Linked DNA regions of Drosophila melanogaster. The protein of the gene in region 2 interacts with the protein of the main gene of each other region in a pairwise test. Each region holds a gene or a part of one and is shown on either strand. Other genes may lie near its edges.

The links.
Region 1: the proteins of Ets65A (region 2) and CG31875 interact in a two-hybrid assay, tested with the Drosophila melanogaster proteins (one large-scale study listed by BioGRID).
Region 3: the proteins of Ets65A (region 2) and hng2 interact in a two-hybrid assay, tested with the Drosophila melanogaster proteins (one large-scale study listed by BioGRID).
Region 4: the proteins of Ets65A (region 2) and MBD-R2 interact in a two-hybrid assay, tested with the Drosophila melanogaster proteins (one large-scale study listed by BioGRID).

The regions. Positions count from the first base shown.
Region 1 is NT_033779.5:9,996,690-10,004,542, forward strand, and holds the start of CG31875 (uncharacterized protein), read right to left. Parts: upstream 6,048-7,853; 5' UTR 5,839-6,047; exon of another isoform or gene 5,717-5,838; intron 5,654-5,716; 5' UTR 5,608-5,653; intron 5,549-5,607; 5' UTR 5,495-5,548; intron 4,745-5,494; exon of another isoform or gene 4,740-4,744; coding exon of another isoform or gene 2,421-4,739; intron 2,355-2,420; coding exon of another isoform or gene 243-2,354; exon of another isoform or gene 17-242; intron 1-16. Other genes in the region: SoYb (sister of Yb), read right to left, coding at 243-2,354, 2,421-4,739; Ndf (Nucleosome-destabilizing factor), read left to right, coding at 7,358-7,437, 7,846-7,853.
Region 2 is NT_037436.4:6,096,092-6,100,661, reverse strand, and holds the start of Ets65A (Ets at 65A), read right to left. Parts: upstream 3,046-4,570; 5' UTR 2,191-3,045; intron 194-2,190; 5' UTR 133-193; coding exon 1-132. Other genes in the region: loj (logjam), read right to left, coding at 4,400-4,456, 4,511-4,570.
Region 3 is NT_033777.3:8,804,801-8,808,116, reverse strand, and holds hng2 (hinge2), read right to left. Parts: upstream 1,796-3,316; 5' UTR 1,752-1,795; coding exon 1,538-1,751; intron 1,485-1,537; coding exon 934-1,484; 3' UTR 536-933; downstream 1-535. Other genes in the region: CG9839 (uncharacterized protein), read left to right, coding at 2,619-2,925, 2,991-3,316; CCT7 (chaperonin containing TCP1 subunit 7), read right to left, coding at 2,098-2,324.
Region 4 is NT_033777.3:12,351,603-12,358,020, forward strand, and holds MBD-R2 (MBD-R2), read right to left. Parts: upstream 4,664-6,418; 5' UTR 4,542-4,663; coding exon 3,317-4,541; intron 3,244-3,316; coding exon 2,593-3,243; intron 2,529-2,592; coding exon 2,396-2,528; intron 2,343-2,395; coding exon 1,012-2,342; intron 943-1,011; coding exon 773-942; 3' UTR 541-772; downstream 1-540. Other genes in the region: CG10041 (uncharacterized protein), read right to left, coding at 1-461. UniProt on the Drosophila melanogaster protein: Component of the non-specific lethal (NLS) complex, a multiprotein complex that promotes expression of housekeeping genes on X chromosome and autosomes.

The DNA.
Region 1 (7,853 bases), on a different chromosome or scaffold from region 2:
ATAAACATAATATTTTGTTGTATGAATTTTAATTTATCTCAAAACCTATCGGCACAGAATTTAAATTATCACTTATAACATTGGGTTCCTTAATTTACCTACATAACCCATTCCTGGGTTTACCTAAGATCAAATTGACAATACAAACTCAAATAGTAACTGAAACTTAACTCGTAGAGAAATTTAGTTTGGTTTTTAAAGTGAACTTAGAAAGCAAAGTAATTGACAACCCTAAAATGCTGTTAATCTTCATATAGGTTCGAGTCCATTTCGCAGTATTCCACCCCTGGCTCGATGAAGTCCTCTGGGGTGGAACTGAACTCACTGCTCTCAGAATCGGAGTAGCTCTTTGTTTTCTTGTGCGTCAAGTACCCTTCCCAAAGGACCAAACCAAATGATGGTGGAGGTCCATGGGAACGCTCCGAATCGTAGATCAGCCAGTGAGCATGTTTTTGAACATAGAGCGAGTTGAGAAGAGTTGGCCAGTGGAAGAGTAGACCCACCTTGGTCAATTTGATATGTAGGTAATAACCGTGTTGCTTCACCGAGTCGATCCTCACCTCTCCCAGCAGATTTAGGATAAATCGTTGTGGAGGTGTCGTCTCATTAACCTTGTATTCTAATGTATTTCCATCTAGACCAAGCTTATACTCCAACATCTGTTGTTCAACAACAAGTTCGATATGGGTTAGTGTCTGGTGCCATTTAACCATAGGATATACTGATTCCCTAGATTTTGTTGCGCAGTTTAGGTACTGTAGAAAAAGTTCCTTTGGAGGATCTTGGGGACCAACCACTATCGTTTTATCTTGTTTTAAAGAATTGGTAGAGGAGGATATTTCATGATGGATTGACTGAGTCTCATCTTCATGTACTATGTTTTTTATGAATTCTTGTGTATTCTTTTTCTTTGTCGGACTTTTAGTGTTAAGCTCGTGAATCAAAGTGTTTATTAAGGCAGTGGAACTGTCTAGTGGTGAAGCGTCTTGGACGTGTTCTATCTCCACGGATTTGTTAAAATCATTTAATTCGTCAATTTTATTTTGAACTTTATCTGACACGTGCTTTCTTTCCTCCAGAGTTTCATTGCTATTGGGTGATGCTATTATTAAGGGAGTTTCAACCGGATTGAGGTCTTCTTCTTTTCCCGAAGAACACGTCGCTTGTTTGTTTTGCAGAGAAGTTATTTTGCTGTCACGATTATCCAAATCAGTTGAGCTACATACAATGTTTTCTTTGTTGGCTCTTAGTTCTTCCATTTCTTGTTTCCATTGTTCATGGATTGCTCGGAGCTCTAGGATGCTTGTGCTGTCAATTTTGGCGAATCCTTGTCGGAGCAGTTCCTTGCGCAAAAACGTTTTGTAGACACTCGTCAGCATTGTTGGGCACTCCTCTATCAAAGCTATTTCCTTGACGTAGGCCACATCCAGAACTCCAAAATCGACGGTTATTTGCATGATCTCTTCGTTGATGTCAGCAAACCTGTCCTGCACCCATTGAATGGAATCCGTTGACCACATCCCACCTTGTCCTGATCCAGCCAATCCCGACAAACGAATATCCATAGCCAGTTGTTGCAGGTCTCTAAACTGCTCCGGACACTCCAGCAGCTGACTGGCCTTGACCTGCAGTAGCTCAGTTCCATAATCCATCAACTGAACAGTGACTTGAGGTCTGGCAGGATTGTCAACAATCCTAACCCGGCTTAAAAGTTCCTTATGTTGCACAAAGCACACATCGTTTATTTTGCACGGGTTGTGTACCTTTCGTGGCACACCGAAGCTCATCTTGAAGACTAATGTCGATGGATATGAAGGATAAGGCACATCGATCCAAATGGTTGAGTCTTTGGACTTATACTTCATGGGCATGACAGCCATATGAGCGGGGTCATAGGCTTTGAGGAACTTGCAACGAATCAGGGTACCCGGTTGGAGGAGAGGATTTCCAATCTTCGGAAGATCAGTCTTAAGAAAGTGATGGCGCTTGTTGCACTGGTTTCGATTGCAATTACCATTACTCAGTTTGTATGGGCAGTAGGGAAGAGTGTTATCCAATTGCTGCTCACTGTCGGGCATAGACTGGGTGGTCAAACCGTGATCCTGCAAGAACTTCATGATACGAGGCCATTCCTTGGCGTTATTCTCATCCATCAATATGTAAGTAATTAAATCTTGCCCTCTTCCAATTGGCTTTGTGAATAAATTCCGGATGTTGTCTGCCATTGTGTGGAATCGCCTCGAAAATCTTAACCACGATTCCGGGAGACTAAAATGGATAAGCAGCTGAATGTTTCTCACTGGCAACTGTTTCCGGACCTGGCTATCGTCGACAAGCATCAACCGATTAGGGCTCTGAAAGAGTTTGGTCGAATTTTTGGATTAATATTTTAGCCAATATGTTCTGTATTGATTTTGTACCTGATTTTGTGCTTTTGAAATATCCACACATTGAAGTCCGGCTTCTATTAAGATCGCACTTAGTTCTTCCAGCTCCATCTGATTTTTGCAGTAGATCAATGTGCGCTTTTTCGAACCATCCTGTTCTGCCAGGATATCGAGAAGCTGCCGTGCCTTCAAAGCGGAACTGCGAAGAGTTACATTAAATTTGAGACCTCCGTAAAGGGCGGCCTCTAAGAAGTCCCCAAATAGTATCAATGGCTTCGTTGTACGATTTAAAAGCTTCTGAAATCTCTCGGAGTGCCATTGTTGAGCTACGAGAACTAACTGCTTTGATAGGCCACCGATGCTATTAACTTTCTGAAACACTTCCTTCAGGAGTTCCGCGTTATCCAGTCGCTTGCGATCGTAATCATCGAAGATTATGAACTCTAATCTAGTTGGATTTACTAATGGCAATTCGTTGGACAATATATTGTTTAAGTGCGCCAATGTTGTCACTAAAACACCGCACGAATTGAGTAGCATCATGTACACATCCATCATGGAATGAGCATGTGTATTGACCACCTTAAGATTTTGGGTATTAAAATCTTTCATTAGGAATTCGCAATGGGAAGCCAACTTCTTGGCGTTCTCTACAGAATCCACTATCAGTATGGCCAGTGGACCCGGTGCAATCCGAGTATCGAGGTTTGAAGTTACATTTTCAAAGGAGCTCAAAACTGAAGAGCAAATCACAGGAAGATAGCTCCAAGAGCGACCCGTTCCGGAGGGATTGACCAGCACCAGGGATCCGCGGTTCACGAGATGCGGCCAGGCGTAAATTTGAGTGGGCAAAGGTGTTTGGAAGTTTAAGTCATCCATGGCGTTCAGGATAGTATTGCCCAAAGGTAACTCCTTGTAACTAGTGACAGGATTCACTGGCTCGGGACTATGGGCCAGCACTAGATGCTTCAAACAAACACTTGGCTTCCTATCACCCATGTTTTCTGAGCGGCATACGTGCATCTTTTCTACACATCTTTTTGTTGTTGAAACATTAGAATTTGGCATCTGGCTTCGATTTTTTTGTACACTTCTTTCGGATGGGTTTTTACCAAGCATGTCATTAAATATTTGTTCCATTTTATCCATTGAAAATACTACTGTTCGATTATTCGACTGGTTAGTACAATTTTCGGTTAAAGGTACGGATAACGAAGTAGTTAAGTGTGCTCCTGATGATTTAAATAATGTCATCGATTTGCGAACATTGGAGTTTGAATTTGTAGATGAAGAGGCTAGATTTCTTGGTCCACTCAAGGTTGATGAATCGGTATTCTTTTGCTGATATGATGAAAGCTTGACTTTTGATAAACATTCTGATAAATTTTCAGATTCTAGGTATTTTACCTCCTTTTTTCTATTATCTTCTGATTGATTGGCTTTATGGGGTAATTCTTTGCTAATTTGTTTTGATCTATTAGCCAGAGCAGTTTGCATCGAACTTTCGCTGATACTTTGAACCTTGCTCAGGAGTTTTACGGAGTTTGGTATAAGATAGGTCTCGTGGCTCTGTAGCAGGGCATCTAGCTTTTTCTGTTGAATTGCAGAAGGGGTTGGTGTCGATTCTTTAGCATTCTCCGACAATAAGACTACTAGTTCAAGTATTCTTCTTAGACGCGGACGTGTATCGATCGCCATGTCGTTGATCTCAGCCTTTTCAAAGCTTATATCCTCGTAAGGGATGGCCATGGTTAAGGTTTCCTTGCAGCGTCCTTGGTCCTGCTTTATTAGAAAGTTTGCAGCATCCTCAGTCTGGCATGATGATCTGAACTTAAGCAGCCCGAAATTCCGATTCGATTTGCCACGATGTACGACTTGAAATGTGAGCTGATTGGCATCCTCTAGCTGTTTGTCCAAGGACTCAATGGCGGATCGGGACCAGACACTGCCAGAATGCGGAGCAATCAAGGCCACACCACCCTCTTTAAAGTCGCATAAACTGCGACTCAAATGGTCAGGCAGCGGCCACAAATCCCACACAGAACAGCAGAGGTTAAATCCGTAATCCAGGATCCAGACCAGGTACTCCTCGTTCTGCCGCCTGCGCACCACACCCCTCACGAGCTTGGGTGGACTCCATCGCTGGTAGCGCACAATAACTCTCTCATCCTCCACGTAAACCTGTTTTGTCCTTTCACTGCTGCAGTAATCCTTCAAATCCTGCTCTATTTGGCGAACCAACATTGCTGAGTTCTCCACATCTATGCATCTCACATAGCTGAATTGGTGGGGATTTACGAAATGCGTTATCAGAATGGATTCTTCCTGGTCAGGATCCAGTTGGTGTTCCATATTTTCTACGTTTGTAATGGATGGGAATTGGTTTTAATTATAAGTTTTTAAAATGTTGGAAAAATTGATTCAAATACATTTTTTTTGGTAAATTGAGCAGCAAAAATTAACTGTTTAAATATACACACATAGTTGAGTTTAAAGTCCGCCTAACTTTTCCCTGTTCACTCATGTGGAAATTTCTGCGCGTCAGAAAACTTTGCCCAAAGCGAGCCAAAAATTTGTGAAGCCAGCCACAGGATTAAATTTGCGGATTGGGATTGTGATTTAGTAGGGAGTGAATTAGCTAATTTAAGTTGTGCAAAAGCGAAAGCAAGTGCGGCAATTGCGACGGCATCTGCAGCTTTCAAATGGGAAAACAAAGCAACTGGCTAAGCCGCAAGTAAGAAGGTCCTTGTGCCTATTTGCTGTTTGTTTGCGCTGCACTAGATGCTGCTGCAGTGCCTCCACCCCACAGCCTCCTTGTGGTGTGGCAAGTGGTGCTCCACAAACGGCACTGGAGCGTGCTGCTAGTTGTTGTTCTATCAACACTTTAATTGCCCGAGATGTTCTCTAAGGCCTCTAAATAAGTAAATGCTCTGCATTATTTGAGTTCCTTTAACATGTGCGCAAGTGAATAGGGTATTAATTGTCTAAGCAATTGGATCGATACGATCCACCCCAAATTATCCCTTGATAAAGTGAGTGGTTTTCATAAAAAAAAATCAAGGATAATGCAGGAAAATAATATGATAATCGGATCACTTGGAATCTACTCACTCGAATCGGAATTGGATGTAGCGCCGTTGTACATCGCCTCAGTTGAACAGCTGCAAAGATATTTTAATAGTATTACGTACAATTTTATATTATGTTTACAATAATATACCAAGTTAAGGGTCTTCAATCCAAAATGCAATCCAGTCCAATATTTTCTGAAAGTCAAATCAAATGTAAATTAGCAAACATAATTTTAGTTAGAAATAAATACATATTACTAAAATCCTACGTTCCAACTTTCAATATGCGCGAAACCGACTGAATTCCATTGGCAATCATTTCCAATATTCCAACCAATTCCAAACAACATGCTCACACACGCATACATGTACATACCCACTTGTAAACAGAGAAGCGGCTATTTTCAAAGTGTCAGCACAATTGGAAGATCGTAAACAAGAACGGAACTTGAGATTCAAGACACTTTCGTCTGGAAGTCAGAAAAAAGTTAAGTTACGACCAATAGTTCACATATAAATCTATTATACTTGAGTAAGAATAATAAATATTTGCTATTATTGGTCAACGGAACCGACTTTTTTTGCACAGCTAGAATGAAGAAGAGCAGGAAACTAATTCTTGCCTTCCAAATTAATCGATGTTTTAAGCTTTAAGATAAGCTCGATATCAACTTTTATCGGAATGGTCAGATCGGAATTTAAAAAAAAAAACTTTAATTTCTCCCCAACTCAAATTGAAACACACAAACAAATGAATGTACTTAAACCCTTTTTTTTTGCTAGCGAGTATGCGATCAAAACTAGAGAAACATATGTACGTTTTTTCCCTTATAATTGATGGCAATCTGGTCCCAATAAATCCTTCTCACCCATTTCGCGCCTGCTAATTGCCAAACAAAATGCAATAATTCAACCCAAAAGCACGCTTTCTTTTCCTAGCACAAATACAATACCCCTTTAACGGCCGCAATTTCCCTTTTTCACCCTTTTGTTTGCCAGGTCACCCGAAAAGTTTTACCGAGCAGGGTTGTCGCATGACCCCCCGCAACCCACAACCACAGCAGCAATCGCTTTTTATTCTCTTTTTATATGATTGTTTCATATTTATGAGGATTATATGGCTGATGCTGAGTGCTGAGAATCAGAGAAAAATTGAGTTGGACGTGTGGTAATTTATTTTTCGGCTAAGGGGACGGACTTGTAGTTAACTGTTAGTTTTCCGAGCTCAAGATCGCACAGATTATAAAGAATTTACTGTGCAATACTAATTAAATTTATCTTTATCATTATTTTACTTAAACGGAATTTGTATAAGCCAAAAAACAAAATTTATTAATAATCTCCAACTAAAAATGTGTATCAATGAAATTATTTTCTTATGGAATTAAATTTCAATAGTTTATGCCCGCCTTTGTATTTAACATCTAAACATTAGAATTAAATAAAGTATTTAAAAAAAAATTTAGCGTATAAAAAGCATGGATTGATTCCAAGTGCATTTTACGAATTTGCATTGAATCACGATAATAATATTCACTTGTAATACTTAATTAAATAATTTAATTCGGAACCCATATTAATTTACCGAGTTCGAGGCGGGTTGGCAGTCCGATTGCATGACGTAGCAACGCCGCCACTTTCCAGCACTGGCCGATTGCCAGCCAAAATGGCGCCCGCCTGCTATCGCATTGCTCGAGCAGATATCGGTTCGGCAGCGCATCACACACACAACGCGAAAAAAAAAAGAAAAATACGGGTGGCCTGCAAGCGAATATCTCCGAAATTCATTGAATCCCGACGCCGAGATTTGTGCTCCGATCCGAGAAACCCATTAGCTTCCGTGCACCGTCCGCCCAAGCCAGCAAAATAACCAAGTTCAACATACGCCTGGACAACATAATGTCGAAGAATAAAAAACTGTCGCTGTCGGGCGGCGATACGACGGAGAAATTTATTTACAAACCCAAGGATCTGATATGGTAAGCCGGGACCGTGGACTCATCAATATATTCGCTGTATTCTCAGCTGCGCTGCGCCGTGAAGAAACAAGAAAAAAAAAAAAACGAGAGATGAAAATCAAAGCAAACACCTAACCTCAATTGCGCACCGTTGGCGCTCGGAAAAAAAAATATGAAGAAAAAAAGAGCCAGTGAAGTGTGCATAAAAAAGCAATTAGCGCTGCCTTTTTGACAGCCACGCAGCGCAGTATCCATGTAGCTCCATCCGAATGACGACCATAATTCCGGAGCTACGTGCGTGGATTCCGGGCGCGCGACGTCGACTTCGCTGCGTTGGCGCTTTTTTCGCGCGCGCGCCCTTTTTTCTTGCTTTTCCTCCTTGCGGCCAATATGAGTTTTCCCTGTTCTGATAGCGCATTTTCTTTGCAGGGCCAAAA
Region 2 (4,570 bases):
GCGGTACGAGGTCCATTCTGGCGAGCACTGTCCGAGTGCAAGGCACTCCTCCGTTTTCACCTGGGCGAGAGTCGGTGGCGATACCCTCTTCAGGTCCAGCGCCGTCTGATACGAACAGGAGTTCTCGTACATGGCGCACGCCTGGGGAGCCTCGATGGGTGGCTGTTGGCTAAACAAGGGATTCCACTTGACTCTGCCGGAGAAAGTAATAGATAGAACAAATTGGTTTTATAGTACTTATAAAACTGCGAAAATTACAAACGAAAATGAATATAAATGAATACTTAGTACTTATAAGTTACTAAAACTTAAGATATTTATTCATACACTCTTGTACTCTATTGGTAGTCAAACCAGAAGATTTAATTGCTTTAAAGTCCAAGTAAACTCCATCACTCACCTCATGGCAAATTGCAGAGCGAGATATTAATAAATCATAGCGCGTGGTCCACAATTAAATACTGCAATTTTAGAATGCCTCTCGGGCCAAACAATCGCTCTAATTGCCATGGCCCCAACACGTTAAGCTAGCTACCCGAAAACCCCCCCGATGTTCTGGCATAATTAATAGTGGCTACTTTGGAGCTGTGGAGCTAGTGTTCCCTTAGATATAAGCACGACGTGCATAATTATCTGGCTCGTTATTTATTGTGTGTACAGTCCCGCTTTTTGCACTGGGCCAACGTTGCGTATGAGCGTTGAACTGTGCGTGGGTGGCGGCCATTTGAGCGTGGCTCTCTAATGTCCAGCTGGTCGAAGCTGGGGAAGGCGAACCATTGTTTACTGGCCCTTTTCGGCCAGTCTGCAGTTAGCACACACAGGGGGCATGCAAATTTTTGCACTCTGCCCTCGTCGGAAGTTGCTGAATTTTGATTTATGCCAACGAAATTTATGCCATACAAAGTGCGACTTGTCCTGTCTCTGGCTTAAAGTACACCAAACATACCCGAAATGAAAACTGTAACTGAAACCCCAGCAGCTTTAAGTTTGCCGGGAGGAGTAAATAGATTTCGTTATCGAAACGGTCGCATCTACAGAACATCATCAACTTTGCGCCTTGTCAGACATTATAAACGGCCTGCACACGCCTCATTTATTATTTATTATTTGTACTCAGGCCGAGTGGCTGCGTTTGCATGTAGGCAAATTTCACCAGCGAACATTAGCAGGCAGACATTTTATTTTTTTTGTATTCTGGTATCCTTGTATTCCCCAAGTTATCACAATCGCTGAGCGAACGCGCGCACACCGGAAATACGAGCGGGATGCCAGGATGTCGGTCTGCAGATGGGCTGAATGCTCGTCCCGTTCTGCAGCGCGTGCTGAGTCCTTTGAATACCACTTGGTATCGCTGTGATTGCCGAGTTTATGCTCTTCGACAGCTGTTAATGGTGTAATCCCCTTGTTGGACGAGAGATCCTTTAATTAAGAGGCCACACGTTTGGCTGCTCTTTAATGGTTTGTAAGATTTTTATGCGATTTTAGGAAATTAGGATTTTTGAATGTTTGCACAGCCGACTGGTTGATGAAACTGTGCTGCTGTTTAATTGTCAAGCTTTTACCCAATGATGCTGCTGATGTGCTTTTTTTCTGGTTTATGAATACTTCCGTTTTAAGTCTACTAATTCGATTAGCAGAAACATATGCTTCACAATTATCTGATGATGGTGGGGTGAGCTTTTTAGGGGTTGGATAACTGTCGTTAGTTAGAAATTAAAAGCAACCATCTAAGTTCACAGGTGCTGTATCTAAGCGCTCAAAATTCTATGTAAGTGGATTTAATTTATCAGATCAGAATGTTTGAATAGAAAGTATCATAGTTTACAAATATCTTAGAAATTCGAAATAAATTCTATCAAAATATTAAAGTTTATTATTGTAATTATTCTTTACTGACATTGGTTATAAATTTTTAGATTTAAAATAGACTTCAACATGTCTGGTATTCTGAATTCGTACATTTCAAATATTTTTATGCATTTAATATTTTCCCCATTTTATGCTGGAGATTTTCCCCATTTAAGCCTAGGAGTATGTTTTCAATTTTTGAATAAAATTCTACCGTTACGATATTATCTTTAATTTACTTCAACTTTGGTTCAACAAAGCACTTAAAAATACATTAGTTATTTAGGACCCCGTCGGAGTTCTGAATCATGTTGATCATTCTATAATTCGAACATAACTCACCTCAGGATTGTGCCTGTATGTGCAATAAAGTTTATCCAAAAATAAGTCTCCTCTTTGACTGTCTCTTAAACTTCCGTCGGGACAACTTAAGTTACAACTTAGTAATCTTAAACACTTCACAATCGTTGGGAATCGGTGCAGTTAATCACTCACTCAAGTGCGTACAAATTGCCAACCGGAAATGAAATTATTGTCAAAATGGCGACGGATATGCGACAAGTGAACGCGACAGCGACGCGCCACGCAAATGACGGTTTTGTTTGCAGCCAAAGTTTCGTAGTCCTGGAGCGGATATGCAAGGAAATTTGTCACTGCAAGGACGATGACGGCGACGACCACCAAGCCAACTGGACACCGACGGCAGCGGGCTCCTTGGGCATTTCTCGATGTCTTTTCGCACAGGTGCAGGTGCACAAAAGGTGGGTGGTGGTGGGTGGCGAGGGGTGAGAGGTTCGCAACGAAAGCGGAACGAAAATGAAATCAAAAAGCGAAATTTCTATAATTTCCGCACAAAAATTTCCGCGACACACTGGCAGGACACATGTGTGTGTCCTTGTCTGTTTCTTTTTCGTGCGCTGCCACGCCCACAGCCAGCAACAAGCTGGGCGTATGTGTCCAAGTTTTCCGCACTGCTTGCCGTGTGTAAGTGTACAAGTGTGTGCCGTGTGTGTGCTTTGTGTTTTTTGTGGTTTTTGTGCCTTCGTTTGCCGCTTGTGCTGACCAAGAAAGGTTCGCTAGTTTGGTCCTTGTCCCGGGAATATTGACGACGTGTGACCGACGAATCTAAACCGCAAAGTACCGCTATTATGTCGTCCGCGACGTGTTGCACTTGGTAGCGCGCACTCCAAGTTAATGTGGCGGCCAGATCATCCCGTCCAGTCACCAGTCCACGCTCAAAGATGGCGACACACTCCTCCCACAAGCGGTGGCTCTGTGTGGCAGGGGAACTGGGCGCTATCACCGAGGATGTGTCACCCCATCGTCCTGCGTTTCTGCGGCGGCTAATGCGCAGGCGCGCTCTCCGCACCACAACCCCATCCACCGCCCACTTTGCCGCTGCTCTGTTATCTGCCGCTGTCATCGGCTGCTGGTGGGCGGAGCCAACTCTGTGCCATCGGGGATGTGGATGTGGATGTGGCTATGGCTGTGGATGCTCCTGCCTTTCGCCGGGTCCTTTGCTCCGCGTTCTTGGGGCATCATTAGTGCTGCCGAAGAGAGAAGACCCCATTTTGGGCGGAAGTGCGTATGAGCAATATTTTAACAATGGCGTTTAAAACAGTTAAAGAGCGTGTGCTGGTGTGCGAGGCCATTAGGACCTTAGTTTTGCGGTGGCTTTAAGGCCCGCAGATAAGCCTCGCATAATAACATTTTAATTTCGAGCAGCAGTGGCCACAAAAGACCCGCCAAGATACCCAGATGCTCCTGCTGCCTGCCAAAAAGGATATAATTAACATGCCAGCTGCTGCAGAGCACACACACATGTGCTAAATGACGTCTAGATAAGCGGTGAGCCTGGTGACATGATTTAAGGTCCTGCGATGGATGGGGCAGGATAATTTGCGATAAGCGGCATTCGGGGTGATTAATTTGCCAGCCCAAGTTGTGGAATGTCTTCGAAATGTCTTCAGCTCTCAATTTAAACTAATGAGCTCATGTACAGCATGTATTTAATATTTAAGATTGGTTTTAGGCAACGAGAAGATGTCTTTGCAACAATGTCGTAATTTGAAAATAACTTACTCCCATATAAAAAGAAAAACAGGTTTCTTAAAACAACAACCTGAATTATATATTTTTAAGTTTAAAATCCTTTCCAGGATAATGAAATTTAACGGTTAAGTGAGCTTACCAAAGCAGCTTAACTTTAAAGCTTGTAGAGCTTTTAGTAAATTAACAAACCCAAATGGCTTCGAATAAATCCTTAAGGTTCTTTCCCAAATAAAACAAAGCAAATACAAAAATCTTCAATCTTTTAATTAAACAAAACACACAAATGTACACTTATCACAATAAGTTTTGCTGTCTATAACTCGTATGACATAAGTAGTCCCAATTATAAAAAAGTCTGCTCAGTTGCGCTTGATCAATTAGCCAGTGATAAAATAAGTTACAAAAACTCATTCAGCAGGTAGAATAGAATGAATGTCTTGGAAATGCGGATGGAATTTTAGAAACATGTTGCGAAGTCTTTGAAAAGTATCTTTGCGCCTTAGATGCGACTTTTGGAGCTCGATTTTACTTCAAATAGTTTGCGCACAAAGAATACCTGCAAATATTAGGTTATTAATTTAGGAAAAGCAAAAAACATGTCTATACTCGCCTGTACAGAGCACGTGATCAATATGACCACAATTTGGCTAATCGAGAAGGTTTGAATATA
Region 3 (3,316 bases), on a different chromosome or scaffold from region 2:
TAGGGGTGTCGTCTGGAGTGTCGACTTATAAATACGCTCGTACAATCCATAAATGTGCCTTTGTGTTGAACAAAAACCATGAAGAAATCGGTATACATAATGAAAACTCGATTGGCATAAGAGGTACAAGCTGTATGAATACAGGTTTCAACTCTTTTTTGTATCAACATCAGCCGAAACTGGTCAAACGGCTTTGGAACATGGGCCATCCGATGGCTTATGTATCGTTTTGACAGTTTATGTTTATACTAAAATTTCGCTGCAGGCGATAAATATGTATTGAGACAGCATCCGGCCCAAGAAAGTAGTGGCTAGGGGGATGAATAACAGAACATGGGATTTATGTAAAAATATCAATTACACATGTGGACAATTTGCTTGCATACATAGTTAATATACATATGAGCATATATATTCATATGAAATTCCATACAAATCCATGTTGTATGAAATTGATATTGAAACCCACGTATAAAAATATATTGCCGTCGTTAGATAATTTATGGTTTAAAACAAAATAAAATGCATATTTTTTATACATTATTTAATGTTGTTTTTAATGTTTTTTTCATTGTCTTAAATAACTCTACAACTATTGTATTATTATCAAAAATTACAAAAGTAAGCGTATAATATATACATTGCGCAAAACACAGAAGTTACTATGAGAAAACTATTTGACGCATTATTAAGAACTAAAAAAAATAATTGAATCATTGGTTGCATTAAAGTTTAACCCCTGGTTTGTGAATATTATTGTTTGTATATTAAATTACAAATTACAGTTCATTATTTAAATTTCGCGCCCTAAAGATTAGACGATTTACGATAACGATTAAATGTATTCTTATTGCTTATGTTAACTTGCTGTTAAACGAATTTTGCCCTTCTTGTAAATGCATTTGTAAATGATTTGACTTCTGTAGTGAATATTCAATTCGGCTTGAAGTTTCGTAGGATTTTCAGGACCTCGATCTGAAAGTCAAGCTTGCGATCGGCGCACATCTGCTGCATGTGAGGCTTAATGGTGTCGAAGAAGGCCTGATCAGGATCGGCGGACAAGTAGGCGGTATTTGTACTGCAGGGTGGATCTGATGGTAACTGTGGAATATATGCGATTTCCGGAGTGGCGGTGTCCTCCTTGGCGCAGCCCAGATCTCCCAGAACCGTATTTATGTTGCTTGGTATGGCTGGATTGCGGATGGCAGGCTCAATATTCGATTCTTGGTCGGAGTTTCTCTTTCGTGGAGTCTTTGCAGATCTCTGTGCGGCAGTGCTCACTCGCTTCCGTTTGGCCTGGGGCTTGGGTTGCTCCTTCAAGGATTCTACATCGTCCTCCGACTCTGCTTTCACGTTCAGCAGGAAACTCAGTTCCTTTTCGTAGATGTAGGAAGCTCTGGCCACCTCCTCGCCACTTTGACGTAGTCGGTTGACCCGTAGGTAGCTGTCCCTCGTGTTTTTCCAACGTTTGAGCAGTGTTTTAACTGGAATTGGAAGTTATGTATGATATAGACTCAAAAAGGTAGCCACCACCTACCTATTTCCTGCTTCTCCGGCTCGCTGGAGTCGTCAAAATTCGAGCAAAGCTCGTGGCCAATTTGCTGCCAGGCCTCATCTCTGAGTTCGCGGTTATGGAAGTTTGGGTGGCTTCGTTCCCATATAATAGAACGTTTGTGTACCGCGTCAATGAACTCGTACATCGAATAGCGCAAATTGCTTCCTGCCGATCGAAGAACTTTATGATTGCCCATTATTTATTGTTTATTTAAGGGTTGGATTGGATTGACAATATGTTGCTTGCGTTTAACAGCACCACGGGCAGCTGCTTAACAGCACTCCCCGCAGAGTTGCCACCTCGCCCCGCATTTAAACTAAAAACGTTCTGATGTTATGAAAATACAAATTTCAATTTTGTGTTTTATTATTAAACATATACAGATAGGTCAGTGGATTATTGTTGCTGTTGTTCTTGCTTCGAAGCGTGCGAAATGCGAAGGTATGACCGAGTAATACGTGTACGTGTTAAATTAGGAGAGAAATGCAAGTGAGTTTTGATGATTAGGGTGTAGTGTTCTCTGGATTTCTGAATGATTCTATTTACATGGGCCTGCCCATTCCGCGGCCCATTCCCATGCCACCGCCGGCCATCGGGGGTTCTCCGGCCTTGGGACTCTTTATTGTCTCATCGACGGAAAGGATCATGCAGGCTGCCTCGGCGGCCGCCGTCAGTGCATTGATCTTAATGATGGACGGCTCCCAGACGCACTGCTCATAGTTGTCCGAAATGTCTTCCTTGTTGATGTCGACGCCGTACCACTGTCCTCCTGTAAAAAGGTAAATGTATAAAATTATAATAATTATTAATTAGAGTTCAAAATTACACGACCGATTTGAATTCGCCAACGATTTTTGCAGGTAACATTTCGTTCAGGTGGCAACGCCGCTTACAGCCCGCGCAATAAACGAATTGAGAAGGTGCGAAAGAGCACAACATACAGCACATGTGACTCGAGTGAGAGAGGACGAGTGACAGTGAGGTCGAAGAAAAACACGCGTTGCTGCGGCTAAAATTTCCTCTGTATTTACATTATTTGGAAGAGAAAACGCAGCCAAACGAAATGTCCAGCTCCGGAAGAAAGCGCAAGCAGCAACTTAAGCCGCGTCAGGACGATCACCGGTCGCCGGTGAAGCGACGCAGTGTGGACATCAAGTCGGAACCCTTGGACGGCTATCCGGCGCTAGCAGACTACGATTTAAGTACGGCCGATATCAAGCCGGATCTCACTGAACTCCAATTGCAGCTGGTGGCGGAGCAGCAGGCGGCCAGCAACACCATTCGCTTGGAATTGGAACAGCAAGAGAGTGATTCCGACGAGGATGGCTACTCAGAGCTCGATTACCAAGCTGAAGATGTCTTCTGTCAGGGTAAGAAGGGTGCTCCTCCCGTCATTTCAAGACCCCACTTATAAAATTATCCTTTTTAAACCCAGACGATATGGATGACTACGATCCAGATTGGTCCAGCCAGCAGACGGGTTCCCGACTGCTCTTCAAATTTCCCATCCAGCAGAGTGGCCTGAAATTCGGACAACGCTTCCAGGGACCACAGCACTACTTCAACCAAGTGCTGGGAAATCGCTCCAAGTTCTTCAGTTCCCTGGCCCAAAGCTGCAACCTAAAGGGAGGAGAGCTCAAGTCCAATCCCACAACTGCCGAAGAAATGGAAATCTTTATGGCGCTTTCCCTGCTTATGTGTGACCTGAAGCTGGAGCACCTATCGGATTACTGGAGCACTAACATGTTTTACGGTCTCGTC
Region 4 (6,418 bases), on a different chromosome or scaffold from region 2:
GGCTTTCCAGCAAAGTTAATGCTACGAAATCGCACATCGTCGAGCGGGAATTTGGGGTAAATCCTCAACACGGCAATGTCGTTGCCGCCGAGCACCCTAAACTGGGGATGCCATCTTCTTTCCACGACGAAGAAGCGGGTCTGCTTCCGGCTGTTCAGCGAATCGGCGCCACCAGCCACGTACAGTTGTTTGGTTGGATTCGTTTGGATGCAGTGGGCTGCACTGAGCACGAACTCATTCGAAAGTATAACGCCCACGCAAAGGTGCTTGTAGTATCCTTTAAGGTTCTCTCCTATGGAGACGATGTATGGATAACGAGGGCGGAAACTTATCACCTTCGTGGTCGACACAGTTGTGGCTAACAAAGGTGTGCTATTCTGCGGGGTGTCGGAAAGCGTCTCCTGGGCTGCCGACATCGCGGCGAACCAAGCTATGGAGCAAAGAGATTGCCAACAACACATAACTGCGACCAAGTCACGAATACAAAGACGTCACAAAGACGTCTTGTAGTCAGGTTTTATCATCAAGCATCTTAACTTTATAATTGGGCATGAAATTATAATTTTCTGTATTCTCACATGGTTAACTTTAAAAGAATATACATTTAAATTCCATTATATTATCAAACTTTATAAAGTATAGCAATATTTTTTTTGAAGAGAAAAAGCTTGTACGGTTACTATCTACACGTCTGCAAAATTATGGAAACAGTTCGAAAATAGCTTAAAAGAAAATCCTCATTAGACCCCTATAACCGTGATCAATAGAAATGCTACTTGCTAGTGGCAGAATCTCTGAGGGTCTGCTTCATATTGGCCACCTGGTTGAGCTTGGCAAGGCGCTTCATGGTTTCGAGCTCCTTAATAAACGTGGCCAGCGCCTCTTTTGTGGTCGAGATGTCAGCGTCCTTTAAGTCATCCAACGTGTCCTCCTTTTCAAGTTCTAAAAGAAATTCAAAAATATATATAGATTCATATATACTCGTGACAAAAATTAGTTTTGGATACTAACCGTCCATTTCGGCTTCTATGTCATTCAGCCGATCGAGAACCAAGGATTGCTGCACCTTGATATGCTCGATCAAACGGTACTGGCACTCCTCCGGATCGATGGCAGCTTCCGGTTGCGGAACGTTCGGAAGGTCGGGGGCCTCCAATTTTGCACGCTTAACCGGTGTCAACGCAGTAGAGTCCAGATTGTCTTCGTCCCACTTTTTGGCCCATAGATAAAGCTTCGGATGACAGCGGTTGCGTGCGATGTTAATCTTCACCAGCAGCGAGTGCATCGATCGCTTGGCATCTAGCAAATTGCCGGTCAGCGTGTGCGAGCGCTTCAAGAGCTCGAATTGTTTGGTGGCCTGTGGATTTGCAGTGTGATACGCGGCCACCGGCAACTTGCCTTCGAATAGCCAGTCCTGGTCGTGCTTAAATCTCATAGAATCCCGACCCCTCTGCGGATTGCGACAAATGTAGCACACATACTTGTCCGGTACATCTGCCTCTTTGACAATTCCGTTGCATGCACCGTGTTGCCAGCATAGGCACAATTCACATTGGATCATTAGGCCGTCCTCTTCGCCATACTCGCAGATGCAGTTAATGATCTCCTCCTGCCGCATGCGCACAATTCGAATTAGTTCACCATTTTCCTTGATGTACTGTGGTGCTTTGCTTAACGTTTCAGCTGGTGGTGGGGCAAGGGCTGCATTTATGTCGGTCTGGTCATTAGATGATGGCGTGGACACCGAATCTCCCATGGCTGGTGAGTCAATGGAACTGATGGGAGTTGTTGCCGCACCACTGCGGCGTTTTTTCGAGTCGATGCGCGTATCCGGAGTGGGGGTGTTAAAAGATTGCCGTGTCTCCTCAACATCTTGTTCGGTTAAGCCATGACCAGCCGGGTTATCTGACAAAATGGGACGACGCTGAGAGCGCTGGCGGTTACTCTTTCGCGAGCCAGATGGCCGCTTCGACGGCGACAAGCGTGCACGCTTGCAGGAACGACTCAATGAAGGATTAAACGACTGAGTTGGACCAGCATCCAGAGAAACATCTTCTTGTTTAATGCCACTTTCAACAGTTGGCGACACACTTGGTGGCTCCATCTTAGGAGATAACAGGGCCTTAGTAGGCGTTATGTCAGATGGCGTTGAAGATGTGGCCGTAGCTGATACACTCTGTCGTTTAAACGATCGTGACTGCTGCAAATCCTGCTGGTGCATTTTGGCAAAGAATTGCTGGTTGGGTATTTGGTTTTTTGGCACCGCCTCAACTTGATCGATGGATGAGGGGTGCGTACGTTTGACCGCTAGTTCCTGCATCTTTGGACAGTGGCTGACGTGTCTGTAGATTTAAAGTAAGTTAGGTGTCATGAGTTTTGAATGAATATTACTCACTCTGCAAACTCCTTGTGATAATGGCGAATGTGGATTAGCAGAAAGTCTTCTTTGCGATAGGTCTTGGCGCAATCTTCGCGCGGGCATACATAAAGATTGTCTTGGATTTTGACTTTTAGGCCCCCAATGAAAGCTGAAATATGGAATTATAATTTATTTTAATATAGCACATGTTATTTCAAATTGCATATACTTACCAAAGCCATTTTCCACCACATGAGGATCTGCTAACATAAGCTGAGAGGTACCTCCCTCACTGGCTTCCAGTATTTCTGCTTCTATCTTGGGCTTTGTCTCATCGGCAGGCTGCGTCTGCGGCGACATTAACTCAGCTGGTGGCATAAGCGAGGCCACCGGTGCTTCCATGTACTGGCTTTCTTTCACCGGCATCGGAGTAGAAGGTAAAGAATGTTGCGACGTGATGCTCTGGTCCAGCGTGGAGTTCATCGACACATCCATGGGCCTGGGCTTGGGCGGTGGCTGCGGATTGTAGCCGTGTGTGTAGACGTAAGCATTGATGTCTTTGGCACGACGTCGATGGATGCTAAAGTCGTACACATCCGGGTTGTAGACCAGATTCTGGGACTCAAGGAACAACTTCAAGTCGGACTTGGAGCGGAAACGTTTGCCGCTGGGCGAGACCAGAATAACATCCCACTTGCCGAGGACGTTGGACCGCTGGTACATGTGCTTGATCCAGCCAGGAGGCAGACGCCAATCCTGCACGATAACAGTGGGTTTCTGGTGCTCGCCCACAATCAGAAAACCCTCGGTTCCAATAGGCTGGTCATTTACCCAATGACAAGTCCACTCGCCGTCATGCGGTATTTCTGGGAGTCCAAGGGATGCTGTTGGTTACGAAAGTCAAACATGAAAGTTAAGTTTAAGGCAAAACTAACATTCTCCTTTCGGTGCTCTTACCTATATCCAAACTGGCCATGTCCAGCAACGGCCAATCCCTGCGCTGAGGTGCACATTTGCTCTTCTTGCTGCCCGAAGAGCCACTGGATCCGCCAAGGCTGCCTGTGCTCGCCCGCTTCGGAGCCACAGGTGCAGAGCTTACTGGAGTTCCAACAGGAGTGGGTGACTTTGAGGCACCCTCTTCCGCTACCTGAACAGGGGGCAACTGCTTGGGCATCTTGTTCATGTGCACGGCGCGCACGTTCTTAACGTAACCATCGTCGAAGAGAACCTCGTAGGTATCGTTGCCCAGCAACTTGCGTATGGTTCCTGGAAACTTACGCGGCCCCGACCAGCGGGCCATGCACTTCTCGTCCAGCTCAAAGACGGGCAGCACACGGTTGCTGAGGCGCTGCCTCAGCCGCTCCGACTTGATGGCCATCCACTCCTGAAAGCTGCCGCTGGTCGAAGGTGACACCTTTAGCTTGTGATTGCGCTCAAAGCGCACGAGTAGCGTCTGCTCCGTCTCGTTAACTTCCACGATGCGGGCGGGCAACCAGTTGCCTTCCACACTGAGCGCCTCCAAACGGGCGCCAATAGTCAGGTTATGTGGGTTGCTGTACTTGGGCGGTGTGCCGGGCAAAGGTGAGTTCGAACTGGAAGCGGATCCAGGAGCTGGGACTGTGGCTTCGCTGCTTGCGGCTACCGGAGTCCCTGAGGGTTCCTTTGCAGCTGCCTTGTTTGCATCTTCTCCACTTTCGGGAGTATTTTTAACGTCATCCGCCGCCTTGCCTGTTTTACCTTCCTCCGTGGCCTTGCGTTCTGCAGATTCCGACAGGATTTGCGCAACTATTTGGTCTACCGTAGCTTTGATCACATCGTCATTGGTCGATGACTGAGCATTTCCCGGGGTTTCAGTCGTTCCCTCCACGCTGGCGTGCTGAAGTGCCCGTTGGTCTGCTTCGATCTCCGCGGTATCCATCTTGCCCCATGGAAAAACGGTGGGAAAGACGCGCGGCTTGAGCAGATACTTCCCATTGCGGATAGTGTTGAAGTCCAAACGGCGGAAGTGGCGTGAGCAGACCAGCACGCTCTTGGTGATCTGGCGCTCCAGGCTGATGCGAGAGTTTTTGATCCATATGGCGCGGATGATGGGATCTAGGGGGAAGGAGTGGTAAGTCACGCCGTTGTGCTCCAACAGACGCGACGTCGACGGGCAGTTGGCCACGCAGCACCGGCGGCCCATGGCGATGAAGTTCACCCAATTCTCTATTTTGTTTGCCTATGTGCAAACGCACACTTTGCTAAGTGATGAAATAATCCAGGAAACGACGCGAAAATTATCCAGAAAAATACAGCGCAATAAATTAGTGATACCAAATTGGGGTACAGTAAAAACGTGTGCGTCGGCAAACTATCGATAGTTAGATATTGCCACCTTGTTGGAAAAGTTCAAAACTATTTAACGATATTTTTTGAATTTTATAAAAAATAAATTTTAAATGACTTTATTGCATAGATCTTTATTGTGGTGATAAATAAATACTACTTTCGATAAATAAATAAATATTACTTTAGAGCCTGAGTAGGTTGAATTTAATTACTTTTTATTTCTGACTATCTCAATTTTCATGAAACTTTACATCAATCTTCCTGCCATAAATTAACTATTAAAGTTGGTAAATACCCGCTGCACAATTAATATTAATCGGTGCGTTAATGCATTTTAGCGAAGTGAGGGTGCCATAAATTTCCTCAGCTCGGCGGAAAAAGGATCACGTGCCGATACGCCACCGTTCCCAAGGCCACCGAAAGCCTATTTGAAATGCAATTAATGTACGCTTTTGGGCTTACATGTCACCACGTTCGCCAAAAGGCAGACACCTTGCAAAAAGCTAACCAAATACGATATTATCCATTCGACAAATGCTTCTGGAAATATGTATTTCAACACTGGGTTTCAAAGTTTGAGGAGCAGCTATTTACGCATACTGCTAAAATAAACACTCATTGTAGTTTTTAATTACAATATTTCACCCGGTCATTAGCATGCAAGAAACAACTGACAAATTTAAATGTGGCGCCTGCTGCTTGATCGGTTGATTGAGCCGCCAAAAAAATCGATTGAAGTATGGAGCTTTGGCCTTCAAATCGAAATATGTGAGGAAAATGTGATGGCACATTTTGAAAGAATAAAATATTAAGATTCTCTATATTGTGTCAATATCTTATGTATATATGTGGCTTGACCCCTCGAATTCCGTAACTAAACAGTTTAGTTCCATTACAAATATTGTTTTAGAATGATAGCCGGAAACTCACGGTCGAAGAGCTTCCTGTTTTTGGGTACTTCCCTGAAAACGAGGTCTCTGGGTCAATCGGTTGACTTTTAGATCTTGGGCGTGTTTGCGAAATTGACACGGAGCCAATATCAAATGGTGTTGACTTTGATTCAGTGGATTGCCAATATTTGTAATCAAATCACGGCTGGAGCATAAAGCAAACTTTAATTATAAAATGCTTTTATTGTCATATGCAGCTGACATAAATATTAAATAACGTGAGTAATTGACGTTGCTAAGCCGAATAATTTAGCATTTTATAAATTTTGGTCAGTCAAAAACTGACATTGAGGGGGCCACTCGAAGGGAAATCCAAAATGGGTGGTAAACACGGTTAGATTTCCGTTTGCATAACTATTAGTGAACATATTTGCATAAATTATCGACACTCGATGAAATTGGGACGACTGCACCTGACCTCACTCTCTTTTTGTGCAAATAATTCAACAATATGTAACCTGTGCAAAAATATTTTTCAAAAACAGAAAACCGAAAACAGAAATATGTACAAGGAGAGTACAAAACTTTTGGTCCAACTGACGGCGGCACTTTCTCCTTTAATATTTACCCAACTCATCGACAAATTGGCCAGGCCCATTCCCCAGCCTCATCTCATCGGTCCCAGCCGCATAGCCCATAAGTCAGCCCCTTCTCCCTCTCCCTCTCCCGATCCCGATCCCCATTCCGATACCGTCTGGGAACTCATTGCGTAAATATGAGGGCATGCAATGCGGTAATAGGCTGGCTGCGCGTCTCTTGACAGTTGGGCCCAGTTTCCCGG